Linked DNA regions of Coturnix japonica. The protein of the gene in region 1 interacts with the protein of each later gene in a pairwise test. Links are inferred from orthologs where the notes say so. Each region holds a gene or a part of one and is shown on either strand. Other genes may lie near its edges.

Region 1 (3,647 bases):
CATTCTCTTTTTCCCTGTCCACAAACCTACTTCTAACTCTGGCACTGCATTCTCAAGAGACACTTCCAGTTTGGAATGAAATTGAGATCTGATGTACAGTTACCTCTGTTCTGTAGAAGAGAGGCAGGTGGACGTGGCTGGAGGCCCCAGAGGTTCTCCATACCATTTCTGTCTTTCAGATCCAACAGGTGGATTAAAATCAAGGGATCAATATCAAGTAAACTGCTGCTAGCTGCTGAGCCCAGGGCGCTTCCTCCTCGCCTTGAAGGTCTTCCACTTGCACTGGTGTAGCCATGGCTGGTACCTAAGGAAGAGTTATGAGGAAATAGCATGCATTTAAATGACAAGAGTTGGAAAGTTCATGTAGATGAGGCATAAAAGCATTCTAAGAAGTGTAACAAATATCAGTATTATTTCATGGATTTATGTTCTGAAAGCAGTCAGATGTACTTCAATAGTCTTTAAGCAAAGTGCCACCACAGGAAAGGAAGGGAGGGGAAAAAAAAAAGTGTTTGGCTCATATCTTCCATGTAAATCTCTTAATAAATAGATTGAATAGATCAATTAACAAATCAAAGAGCATTTATTCTCAAGGCACGCACATAAACTTCCTACTTTTTTCACCCTTCCCATTAGATTTATCTGCAGCGTTTCTGGTGAACATTTGTTCTGATCAGGTCATCTCTATGGCTATCTCCACCATATATAAATACACACATATTCAACATTTCAGTCTTATTAGCCTATGGCTCACAGTTTGTGTGATAATAATCTCCAGAAGGCTCGAGATCTTAGAACACCTATTTTAACAATTTCAATCTCTTTCTTCTTGACTCTTAAGATTATTCACTCCCTTCCACGTAGCTGAGATTTCATAGTGCACAAAAACCTGGAGTGATGCATCACACGTTCAGAGGCCACACAGATACGAGTAAAAAGGAAATGCTTTCCAATTTCATTTTCTTGAAATTGAAGGGTTTTCTGAGAGGCACCAAAGTCCCCCTCCTAACTTCACATCCTTTTAAACATCTCTGGATTTCCCCCTGCCCCTTTTATCTTTATTTGAACCAAACCACTGAGATGTTTCTGCTACGCTGCAATAATCAGAACAAACTGCATGATGCAGCACTTCCAAAAATAGCAATGCCTGCAGAACACACAGTTTGACGTCGCTTCCAAAAAGAACAGAGGAAGAAGTCCAGCAGTGCTTTGCCTACATAGGAATTCTGAAGGCTATTTTTCATACCTGACGCCCCAGGAGCGGCAGCAGCAGCTGCTGCATCTTCCATGAGATCTCCTTCTTCCAACTCCATATTATTACTGTATTCCACATCGTTTTCTCCAGACCTTAAGAGAAGATTGGGGAGAAAATGGCAGAATATAGTTATTGGATTCTGGCTGCTCCTGTTAAACACGATGGCACATACCACTAAGAAAAGCACAAAGCACCATGAAGCTCCTGCACTCTGAGCTACACACAGAGTGTATTAATAAAACAACAGACTCCCTAACAAGGAGCCTAAAAGTTTCACACAAATCCAGACTGTAAAATCTCATCCTGTAAACTTTTGTATCCGTACGCATTACAACACATTCTCACGTTTTAATGAATGTTCTCAGATTTGACATTAGTGTGTCAGCTAAGAAAATTAAGCCCTCTGCTTTTCAGTAACTACCTGTCCTTATTAACACTCCTACTGCATCACTTTCTAATACCAAGCTCTATTTCATTGTGACATAGATCAGTGTAGAAACAAATTCCTTACTGTTTTGTCAGAGAATCTTTACAGACTACCAAAGGTAGAAACACCACAAAAGCAAAGGAAGAGACCAGAAAGTAAAGAACCAGTGCCTGAAAATTCTTTGTTTAACATCAACTCTATCAGCTTATGTTACTTCCAGTACAGGAAACATCCCTTATGTTGCACTGACTCCCAAATGCACTGTAACAGTGATATTGCAAATGAATTTTTACTGCTTGGGAAACACAAGGTGATTATCTGGGACTTGAAGTTACTCACATAGTCTCTTCATCGATGTCATTCTCTTCAGTGTTGCTAGTGGCTGTGGAACTAGCTGAAGAGCTACTGCCATCAAGATGGTTCACCTCATCTTCTCCAGCAAGATCTACATCCAGATCACCATCAGAGAGTTCGTGCTACAGAACAAAGAGAAACACTTAACTCGGACCTCACTGCTTCTGCCAAAAGCTACAAACCCAAACCTTCTCCCCACAGAGGTGTCACACTGGAACGTAGAAGTTGGGAGAGTCTGAAAGCACAGTCAGAGCTACATTTTTTAGCTGCAATTGGGAAACCTCCTTACAGTGGGATCAAGTAGCTCTGTTCCACAACATCACGTAAGATACCTCTTGCTAACTGTCAAACACACTGTCTCCTATTTCCACAAAGAGATTAAGTCTCATTTACAATTCAGAACTTCACAAAAGTTCCTACTGCTCATCTATTATAAAAGGCTACATAAAAGAAGGTAAAATAAAGACTGCTCCTACACTGAGGTCTTCATGCTGGATCTTCTCTTCATCCTCTTCCTTGTTATCTCGCGCTGACCCCGGAGCAGTAACATTCTCAAGCAGTGCCACAGTGCTTGGTCCAGACTTCTTTGATCTCGTTTCTGGTCCATCGTCATTCTGGGGACTGAGGTGAGTGTCTGGAGGTGAAATACCTCGTGACTTCTGAGTCCGGGAAAGTTCAATTGTGAGCCTCTTAATTAGGGAGACAGACAGAAACACACACAGAAGATAACAATGGAGCAGCACCATTGAATCAAGTCCTTCTGGTTTATACAAATGTCATCAAAACACAGCATGTGTATCTATCCAAGTCAAAAAATGCCAAATACAAGCTTCATAACCTAAACCAGTGAATTATTAGGCAATACAAGGTGTTTTTGTATTGATACACATCCAACTTACTTCTTTGAGGTTATTGATTTCTTGGATATAACTTGTCTGAGCAGCTTCCAGCTGAGCAATATACCAGTGTTGGTCCCGACACTTCTGGAAAAAGGTTGGTGAGCGCACCTGGAACCTTCAAAGCAATATTTGAGAAGTTTCATTTTTCTGACAGTCTGACCAGCCCTGTGTAAGAACATTGGATGACCTGAAATGTCATCTCACAGACATCCTGCAAGGGCAGCTCAGCCCACAGCAGAAGGGATGGAACTATGATTCTTATGAAATAATAGCAGAACCCCCCCACACACAACATCTTTCTTACCTTAGGATCACAGTGTCATTTTGTCTGTTTAAGTAGCCTTCGTTGGCTAACAAGTCTAGACGAAAGAATCTGTTGTAACCCCAGCACTCTCCAACTTCAAAATCAGAGGCAAACTCCCTAATGATGTTTTTAGTGGGATCGTTGGTGGACTGGTGAACCATTTCTACGCGGTACTCATACCTATGCATAGGAAGATCACAAGGTAAAGACCAAAACAAAGGGGTCAGAACTGCTGAATGCACCAAGCAAAAGCAAACTGCCCTTTCTGAGAAGCCAGCGTGTCCACCCAGAAAGGTGACTCACTTGTAAAACGTTACTGGGGAAAGAAGGCAGAAGCGGGGAGTAAACCACGTCTGAATGCCAGGAGACAGATACTCCCATTAGGTGTTTAGCCAGTTTGCTTCCTTC
Region 2 (3,747 bases), on another chromosome or scaffold:
CATCTCTTCCAGCAGTCCCTGCACAGCCACCCTCAGCACAGCTCGTGTGCAGTCGCTGCGATGCATCCAAAGGCTCTGAGCCATTTCTTGTCTTGATTTCCAGGAAAAATTACAGATGCATTCAATTCCTTGGCCAAGAAGAGCAACTTTCGAGCCATAAGCAAGAAACTGAGCTTGGTACGTCCTGTGGGCTCTACTGGGAGGGTTGTGCCTGGTCTGTGCCTGATCCCCAGGGCTCTGCACCCTCAGCTTCCATCCAGCCACAGGAGCTGGGCTGCTGCCGGCTGCCTCAGTGTGCATTGCCAGCCTCAGTGTGCATTGCCAGCTGCAGCTGCTCTGGCCCTGCTGCAAGGGCGGTTTGTGCTGCAAGGGCAGTTTGTGCTGCCGGCCCTGCCTGGGGCTCAGCCTGACACAGAGACACAGAGCCCGACCCCCCTGTGCTTTGCTGTCAGTACCAAGCGGTGCTTCCCCGCAGATCCCACGGGTGGACGGCGAGTACAACCTGAAGGTGCCTCGGGACATGGCGTATGTGTTCAGCGGGGCCTACACGCCCCTGAGCTGCAAGATCATCGAGCAGGTCGGTGCCCCCAGGTGCTCTCAGTGCTGCCCTGTGCCCAGAGCTGCCCTGATCTGTGCTATGCTGTGTTGTGCTGTGCTATACTGTGCTATACCATGCCATGCTATACCGTGCTATGTGGTACTGTGCTATACTGTGCTATACCATGCCATGCTATACCGTGCTATGTGGTACTGTGCTATACTGTGCTATACCATGCCGTGCTATACCGTGCTGTGCGGTGCCGTGCAGGTGCTGGAGCGTCGCGGCTGGCAGGGCCTGGAGGAGGTGCTGCGGCTGCTGAACGGGAGCGAGTTCTCCATGGCCGGTAGGAGCCGTGTTGGGGTGTCGGGGGTCGGTGCCGGGCGGGGCCGTTGTGACGCCGTGTCCCGCAGACGGAGCGATGGAGGATGGCGCTGCACAGCGCGTGGTGCTGGCCGTGTTCATTGGGGGCTGCAGCTACTCCGAGATGGCGGCGCTGCGATTCGTGGGCAGGGAGAGAGGTACGGGATGGGGGGGAGAGGGACGGGACGGGACGGGGGTTCAGCGTTGGGGCCGTGTGTGTTAGTGCTGCCCATGTTGCCGTGCTGTCCCCGCCCTCAGGTTACCGGTTCATCTTCCTGACCACCGGCATCACCAGCAGCTCCCGTGTGATGGAGGCCATGGCCGAGCACAAGGTGTGACAGCGCTGGGGCGGGGCGGGCTGCGCTGCGGGGCCCGGCCCGCTCAATAAACGCCGCCGTCCAGTCCGACCCTGTCTGGTACCGTCCGTCTCGGCCCGGTTTATCCCGGTTCATCCCGGTTCCATCCCGGTTCATCCCGGTCCATCCCGGTTCATCCCGGTTCCGTCCCGAGGCGTCATTCAAAGCCGAGCGGCGCGCGCGTTTCTGTGTCACGTGATCGGCGTCAAAAGTCGCGCGTGCGCAGTGCGGCGGAGCGCCGCTCAGAGCCCAGCGGCCGCACGCAGCCGTTCCGGCTCGCGATTGGGCGGACGCCCCGACGGCGCTTGGCTGCCATTGGCTGACAGCCGGCTGGGGGCGGGACCTGGGGAGCGGTTGTGGGCGGGGCCAGGCGCGAAGCTTCAGCCAATGAGCGGCTGAGGAACCAGAGTTTGAATCGGCGGCTGCGGGCGGCGGAGAGTGGGGACATGAGGAGGAGGTACGGGAACGGGAACGGGAAAGGAAACGGGGAAGGGGATGGGAGACGGGAACGGAAACGGGATACGGAACGGGGAACGGACTGGGATACGGGAACGGGAAATGGGAACTGGAAACGGAACGGGAATACGGACGGGAACGGGGAAGGGAATGGGAACGGGAACGGAACGGGAGACGGGAGTGGAACGGGGACGGGAACGGGAACGGGACGGGAACGGGGAAGGGAACGGTTACGGGGAACGGGAACGGCGTACGGGACCGCGGATGGGAGACGGGAACGGAAACGGGACGGGAACGGGGAACGGGAACGGAACGGGATGGGGACGGGGACGGGAACGGGGGATGGAGTACGGAACGGGAACGGACGGGAAACGGGACGGAACGGGAACGGGAATGGCGACGGGACGGGAACGGAAACGGGAACGGGATGGGAACGGGAACGGGAACGGAAACGGGAATGGAACGGAACGGGAACGGGAATGGGAACGGGAACGGACGGAACGGAGCGGGAATGGGGCAACGGGAATGGGGAGTGGGGATGGGAACGGGAAGAATGGGCTGTGATACGGGGATGGGGCCCGGGGCCGCGGCGGGGAGCGGGGGGAGCAGTGGTGCGGGGTGCGGTGTCCCGGTGTCGTTGTCGGGTGTTGGCGGTGCCCGGTGGCTGTCGCGGCCGCCCTCGGAGCCGCTCCGCCGTTAGCGAGTGCTGGCGGCCGAGGCCGTGACGGCCTGAAACTCGCGCCCTGTCCGCCGCCTGGCGGGACATATGGTGAGCGATCGGCAATCGCCCGAGGGAACTGCGGCTCGAGCGACCGGGGCTGTGAAGAGACACCTGTCAAAGGTTCAGCGGGGCGGGGTCGGGAGCGGGGGATCGGGGGAGGGGGCGGGCGCGGGACGGGGACGGCGCCGTGCTGTGTGTTCCTGCATGCCCTGTGCTGTGCTGTGCCTTCGTGCTGTGTTGTGACATGTGCTCCCATGCTGTGCCGTGTTGTGTGGCTCGTCTGGGTTGTGCTTCATCTCGTGCTGTGTGTTTGTGTTGTGTGTGCTCCATGCGTGCTGTGTTGTAGCTGTGTTGTGTTTGTTTGTGCTCCAATGCTGTGCTGTGTTGTGTTGTGTGTGCTCCATGCTGGTGCTGTGCTGTGTTGTGTTGTGCGCGTGCTGTGGCTGTGTTGTGTTGTTATCGCTCCATGCCGGCTGTGCGTGGCCTTATTGTAAACTGTATTTTGCTCCATGCTGCCGTGTTGTACGCGTGTTTTTGCTCATGCCGTCTGTGCCTCAGAAACCTGCTGGACATTGATGGTGGCGTGAGGAGAGCGCCTGGAGGGAGGCAGATGCGCAGACCGTGGCCGTGTACAGGAAGAGCTGGACGGCCCTTCTGTGCCGTAAGCTGCACGCCGAGCCTTCCAGGTGAAGAGCGCACAACAGGAGCCTGCCACCGGGAGCTAGGTGAGCCCGAAGGCTTCACCCAACGACAACGGCCCGGGGTGGGCGCTGGGAAGGCCGCCAGCAAGAGCCTGTGGATGCAGCCGTGGGTATGCAGCGCTGTGGGATGCTGCGCTGTGGGTGCAGCCACTGGGGATCCAGTGCCGTGATGCAGGCGCTGTGGGATGCTGCGCTGTGGGATGCAGCGCTGTGGGATGCAGCGCTGTGGGATGCAGCGCTGTGGGATGCAGCGCTGTGGGATGCAGCGCTGTGGGGTGCTGCGCTGTGGGATGCAGCGCTGTGGGATGCAGCGCTGTGGGATGCAGCGCTGTGGATGCAGCGCTAGTGGAAATGCAGCGCTGGTGGCTGATGCAAGCGTGCGATGGCATGCAGGGCTGTGGGATGCTTGCGCTGTGGGGATGCTAGCGCTGTGGGATGCAGCGCCTGTGGGAAATGACCGTGCGTGGGATGCAGCGCGCTGTGGGTTGCAGGCGCTGTGTGGATGCAGCTCTGTGGGAGCCAGCGCTTGGGGATGGCAGCGCCGTGGATGCCAGCTGCTGTTGTATGTCAGCGCTGTGGGAGTGCAGGCGCTGTGGGGGATGCGAAGCGGGC
Region 3 (3,747 bases), on another chromosome or scaffold:
AGTGCAGTAGGTCAGACTGCTGGGGTTTTACTTTCCTCAGAACTGATGAATTTGGAGGCACGGTGCTTGGGGCAGGAGGCAGGCTGCAAAGCTTATTGTGCTCAAGTAGGGCCCTACTTCTGCTTTTTGTCTGAGTGCTGCTGTCGATGGCTGTCATTGGCCTTGGTGCAGGAAGAAATTGAAATCGGCAGGAAAAAAAAATGTCTTGAAGGCTAACGAGCCCAAGACAGTGCCGGGATTTAATGAGGGCTGCTTCTGTGATGCTGAGGTAATTCAGGCACCCTCCTGGAAGTTAATTACCGATGGTCTGCAATGCCTGAACCTTTGCCGTGTTGCTTCATTACAGAAGTTACAATGAATTTATTAAATCCTGCGGTGCGTCATCAGTCCTTGGGTGTCAGCTGGAGTGAAGGGCTCAGCACCTCAGGGCTGGGAGCAATCAAAGAGCTCATTATGGAAAGGAGTTATAATTCTGCTGTGCCCTTGCACTACAAGCCTTGAAACACATCACAGACCATATTCTGAGCCTCACACAATACAGTACTTGTTGGCTGTTTGCACTGGGCATTTATTTATGCTGGGCTTACTGATGTTCTATATTGGTGGTCAGTACGTCCCTCACGTGCTCTTACTCAGGTCAGCAATGCACAGCATGCCGTACCCTGTGCTGTGCTGCATGTTGCTGCTGTGTGTGGATGGTGTTCCGGGGCATTGTGGGAGCGCAGGCTGATTTTTCACATAGGGCTGAGCTGCTGTTCTCCTAATCTCTTACAGCAATCTTTCTTGGCATGCTGGGTAGGTCACAGTGAATAATGTGCTTTTCCGCTTGGCAGCCAGACTGGAAAGCTGGGGGAAGGGGAAGCAGAGGGAAAGTCAGGAGCTGCTCACATTTAGGGCAGCCTGCCTCTTTGTACCCTTCCCTGTAGCAAAGAGTTGATGAATCGCTTCCTTTTTCGGTGTTTCAGTAATACTCTGTGTTGTTCAGAGCTCATTTACAGCGCTGTAATGTTTTGAACACTCGCAGCCTTCGCTCTTCCTGTGATTGTCCAAGGGTTGGATGTTTTTGTCTCTGTCCCAACAGTTACTACTTGTTGGAAGTGCTGCAGCTATCTTTCTTAAGACCTTACATTACTTTGGTCTCATGACTGTATTTCTATTACTGAGTGTGATCTTTAAATAAAAGAAACGTGAAGCTCAGGTCCCTGTACCGTTAAACCCTGGAGATTTTCTTCAGGTGCATATAAAGCTAGGGCTGTATTTAATTAAAGGAGTTGGGGGGGGGGAGGAATAGTTCAAGTCCAGTGTTCTGGATAGCAGACCCCTGACCCTTGCACAGCAACTTGGGGTGGGCTGAGCAGCAAACTGCTGCCCCATGAGGTGCACAGCCCCGAGCCCAGGCTCCTCCTGCAGTGCCTGGGCCTGATTCATATTGGCCCTCATTGTTATCTCTCCTGTTCACATGTTTTTTTTTTTTCCTCTTTGTTAGCCTGCTTTCCTTCCTTGTTTTTAAAGAATAGCTTATCTGTGTGCCCCAGAAGGGTGTGACTTGGGGAGATCACAGCAAGCTGAAGTTCAGCAGCTGACTGCAGGAACACACGCTGAGGTTTTCACACACGGCGAGCACCCGGAGATATATGAGATGTGTGCAATTGGGAGAGCGACTGCACTCCTGCTTCAGCCCCCCAGCACCCTGCTCAAGGACAGTCACTGCACCACAACAGCGCCTCAGCGCATGTGCTGTGTGCACCTGGTGACCAGCTCTGGGTCACATTGCTGGGCCAGAACGTGCATCTGAGCTCTGATATGACGTGAGCAAACCAGAGCTGGTCCCATCACACCGTGGCACGCTTTCCTGCCTCGTGTGCGTGTGTGCAACCCTGTCACCTCATTGGGTTGTTGCAAAGCTTCTGAGTGATCAAGTTCTTTTTCTACCTCAGAGTGCAGTGCCTGTGCTGCTGCCACTCCGAACACTGCAGGAGGAAACTGGTTTTCGGTTTGGTTTTGTTTGTTGAAGAGGAGCTTTATGATGGGTGACAGAGCAGAGCCTCTGATGACTGTGCATCTTCTGGCCAACTCAGGATACTCGGCGTTCCTGCAGCAAGCTCTGGATCGTCTCATGGATTGGATCTGCCCAGATGTTCCACTTTTCTTTGTGTCCGAGCGAGCTGCTCCACTGAAATACTACGAGAGGTATCGCAGGAGGAACTGCGGCTTTCCTGGGATATCTGTCCTCCTTTTTCTGCATGAGGACCTGGGAGAAGAGCGGATCCTCCAGATCCAGGATCTCCTCCAGCGCCCACCCTGGCACCACCAGTGTGTCCCTACCACCTGGGCACGAAGCCCTCCCCACACACCAGCTCTGCAGGACTTTTATGGCTTGGATGACCAGATGCCGGTGTGGGGCATCCGGCGGGTGGGCTGCAGCCCCGAAATCCTGCGTGTGACCCTCTACTTCAGCTTTGATAACTACGACGATGCAGTGGGGCTGTACGAGATGATCCTACGGAAAGAAGCAACCACACGGAAAAGCAATTTCTGTGTCTTCATGCTCTATGCCACTAAAGCTATTGCGGTCCAGCTCTGCCTGAAGCAGCTGCCCATTGGGATGGCTGCTGAGCCCAAGGAGTCGTCGCTTTTGCAGTTCAAGGTGCAAGAAATGGGGCAGCTGGTGCCTCTCCTGCCCAATCCATGCGTTCCTATCAGCAGCACCAGGTGGCAAACACAGGACTACGAAGGAAATAAAATTCTGCTTCAGGTATGTGTGTGCACGGTGCTTGCAGACCAGATGCCTTTTGGGTTTTTCTATTCCAACAAAGAGCAGGACTGATTCAAAATGGAAATGAAGGTTTTGCTTGTCCGTATTTCGTTTTTAATTCATGAACTCAGCAACCAACTTCCAGTGCTACGATGTCATTGATAAATGTGAGCACGGATCCTTAGAATGCTTCCATATTGTTAGCACCCGAAGTAGAAGGTATTAGTTCTTTTTCGAGCCACTGAATTCACCTTTTTCCCTTTCCAGCCTGTTCTCTTTCTGATGCAACCTTATAAATGCTCCAGAAAGCAGAGTTTTAGCCCCGTACCATCCCAAACCAGGTGTTTTGCAAGTACAGCGCTGATGCAACATCACCCATGGTAGTTTTGTAATTGCAGTTGGGCAAAAGGGCTAAATAAATGCCATGGGAAAGCCGCCCCCTTTCTGTTGTGCTATGCAGCCCTGAGAGCATGCGAGCACAAATCAAACCAGGCTAAGATGGTGCTGAGGAGGTGGTGCTCACTGTGATTGTACGTGGGAGCAGGAGGGAAGTTCATCTGTGTGCTCTTTGCTTTGTAACAGCTCCTCACACCTCTGGCTTCCTTGGTTGCTATTTGGATATTTTTATTATTATTTGGATATTTAAATCATTTCAATGTATGTTCGATTTTCTTTATTTTCCTTTCTTGGTGAGGAAGTTCTTCTTTAAGGAAGTTCTCTCCACCTTTTCTCAACAGGTGCAGGACAGCTCCAAGCAGAGGGAAACAAGCTCTGTGCTTCCCAACCGGCGCAGTGCTGTTGCTGTGGATGGACTGCTGCACAGCCCTATTGCAGCCCCTCTCCCCACTCTGTGCAGCGCTGAGCAGGGAGGCCAGCAGGGCTGGGCCCTGAGGGGCAGGGTGACACCCGTGCCAGGCCATGCCCTCCCCATGCAGCAGCCCAATGGGAGCCTCTCTGGCTCTTCTCGGGGCACCACGATGCTCTCCCGCCAT

What was found.
Region 2: the proteins of TRIM37 (region 1) and PRC1 interact in binary tests that used the Homo sapiens proteins (3 or more experiments, as listed by UniProt). The link is inferred for Coturnix japonica from reciprocal best matches to the Homo sapiens genes TRIM37 and PRC1.
Region 3: the proteins of TRIM37 (region 1) and FAM124B interact in a two-hybrid assay, tested with the Homo sapiens proteins (2 studies listed by BioGRID and IntAct). The link is inferred for Coturnix japonica from reciprocal best matches to the Homo sapiens genes TRIM37 and FAM124B.

Annotation. Positions count from the first base shown.
Region 1 is NC_029534.1:5,933,057-5,936,703, forward strand, and holds part of TRIM37 (E3 ubiquitin-protein ligase TRIM37), read right to left. Parts: intron 3,420-3,647; coding exon 3,240-3,419; intron 3,051-3,239; coding exon 2,936-3,050; intron 2,726-2,935; coding exon 2,513-2,725; intron 2,159-2,512; coding exon 2,022-2,158; intron 1,348-2,021; coding exon 1,247-1,347; intron 305-1,246; coding exon 104-304; intron 1-103. UniProt on the Homo sapiens protein: E3 ubiquitin-protein ligase required to prevent centriole reduplication. Probably acts by ubiquitinating positive regulators of centriole reduplication.
Region 2 is NC_029525.1:18,211,012-18,214,758, forward strand, and holds the start of PRC1 (protein regulator of cytokinesis 1), read left to right. Parts: upstream 1-1,580; 5' UTR 1,581-1,703; coding exon 1,704-1,714; intron 1,715-3,747. Other genes in the region: VPS33B (vacuolar protein sorting-associated protein 33B), read left to right, coding at 104-177, 476-577, 809-884, 952-1,059, 1,160-1,239. UniProt on the Homo sapiens protein: Key regulator of cytokinesis that cross-links antiparrallel microtubules at an average distance of 35 nM. Essential for controlling the spatiotemporal formation of the midzone and successful cytokinesis.
Region 3 is NC_029524.1:6,955,706-6,959,452, reverse strand, and holds the start of FAM124B (protein FAM124B), read left to right. Parts: upstream 1-1,330; 5' UTR 1,331-2,023; coding exon 2,024-2,755; intron 2,756-3,492; coding exon 3,493-3,747.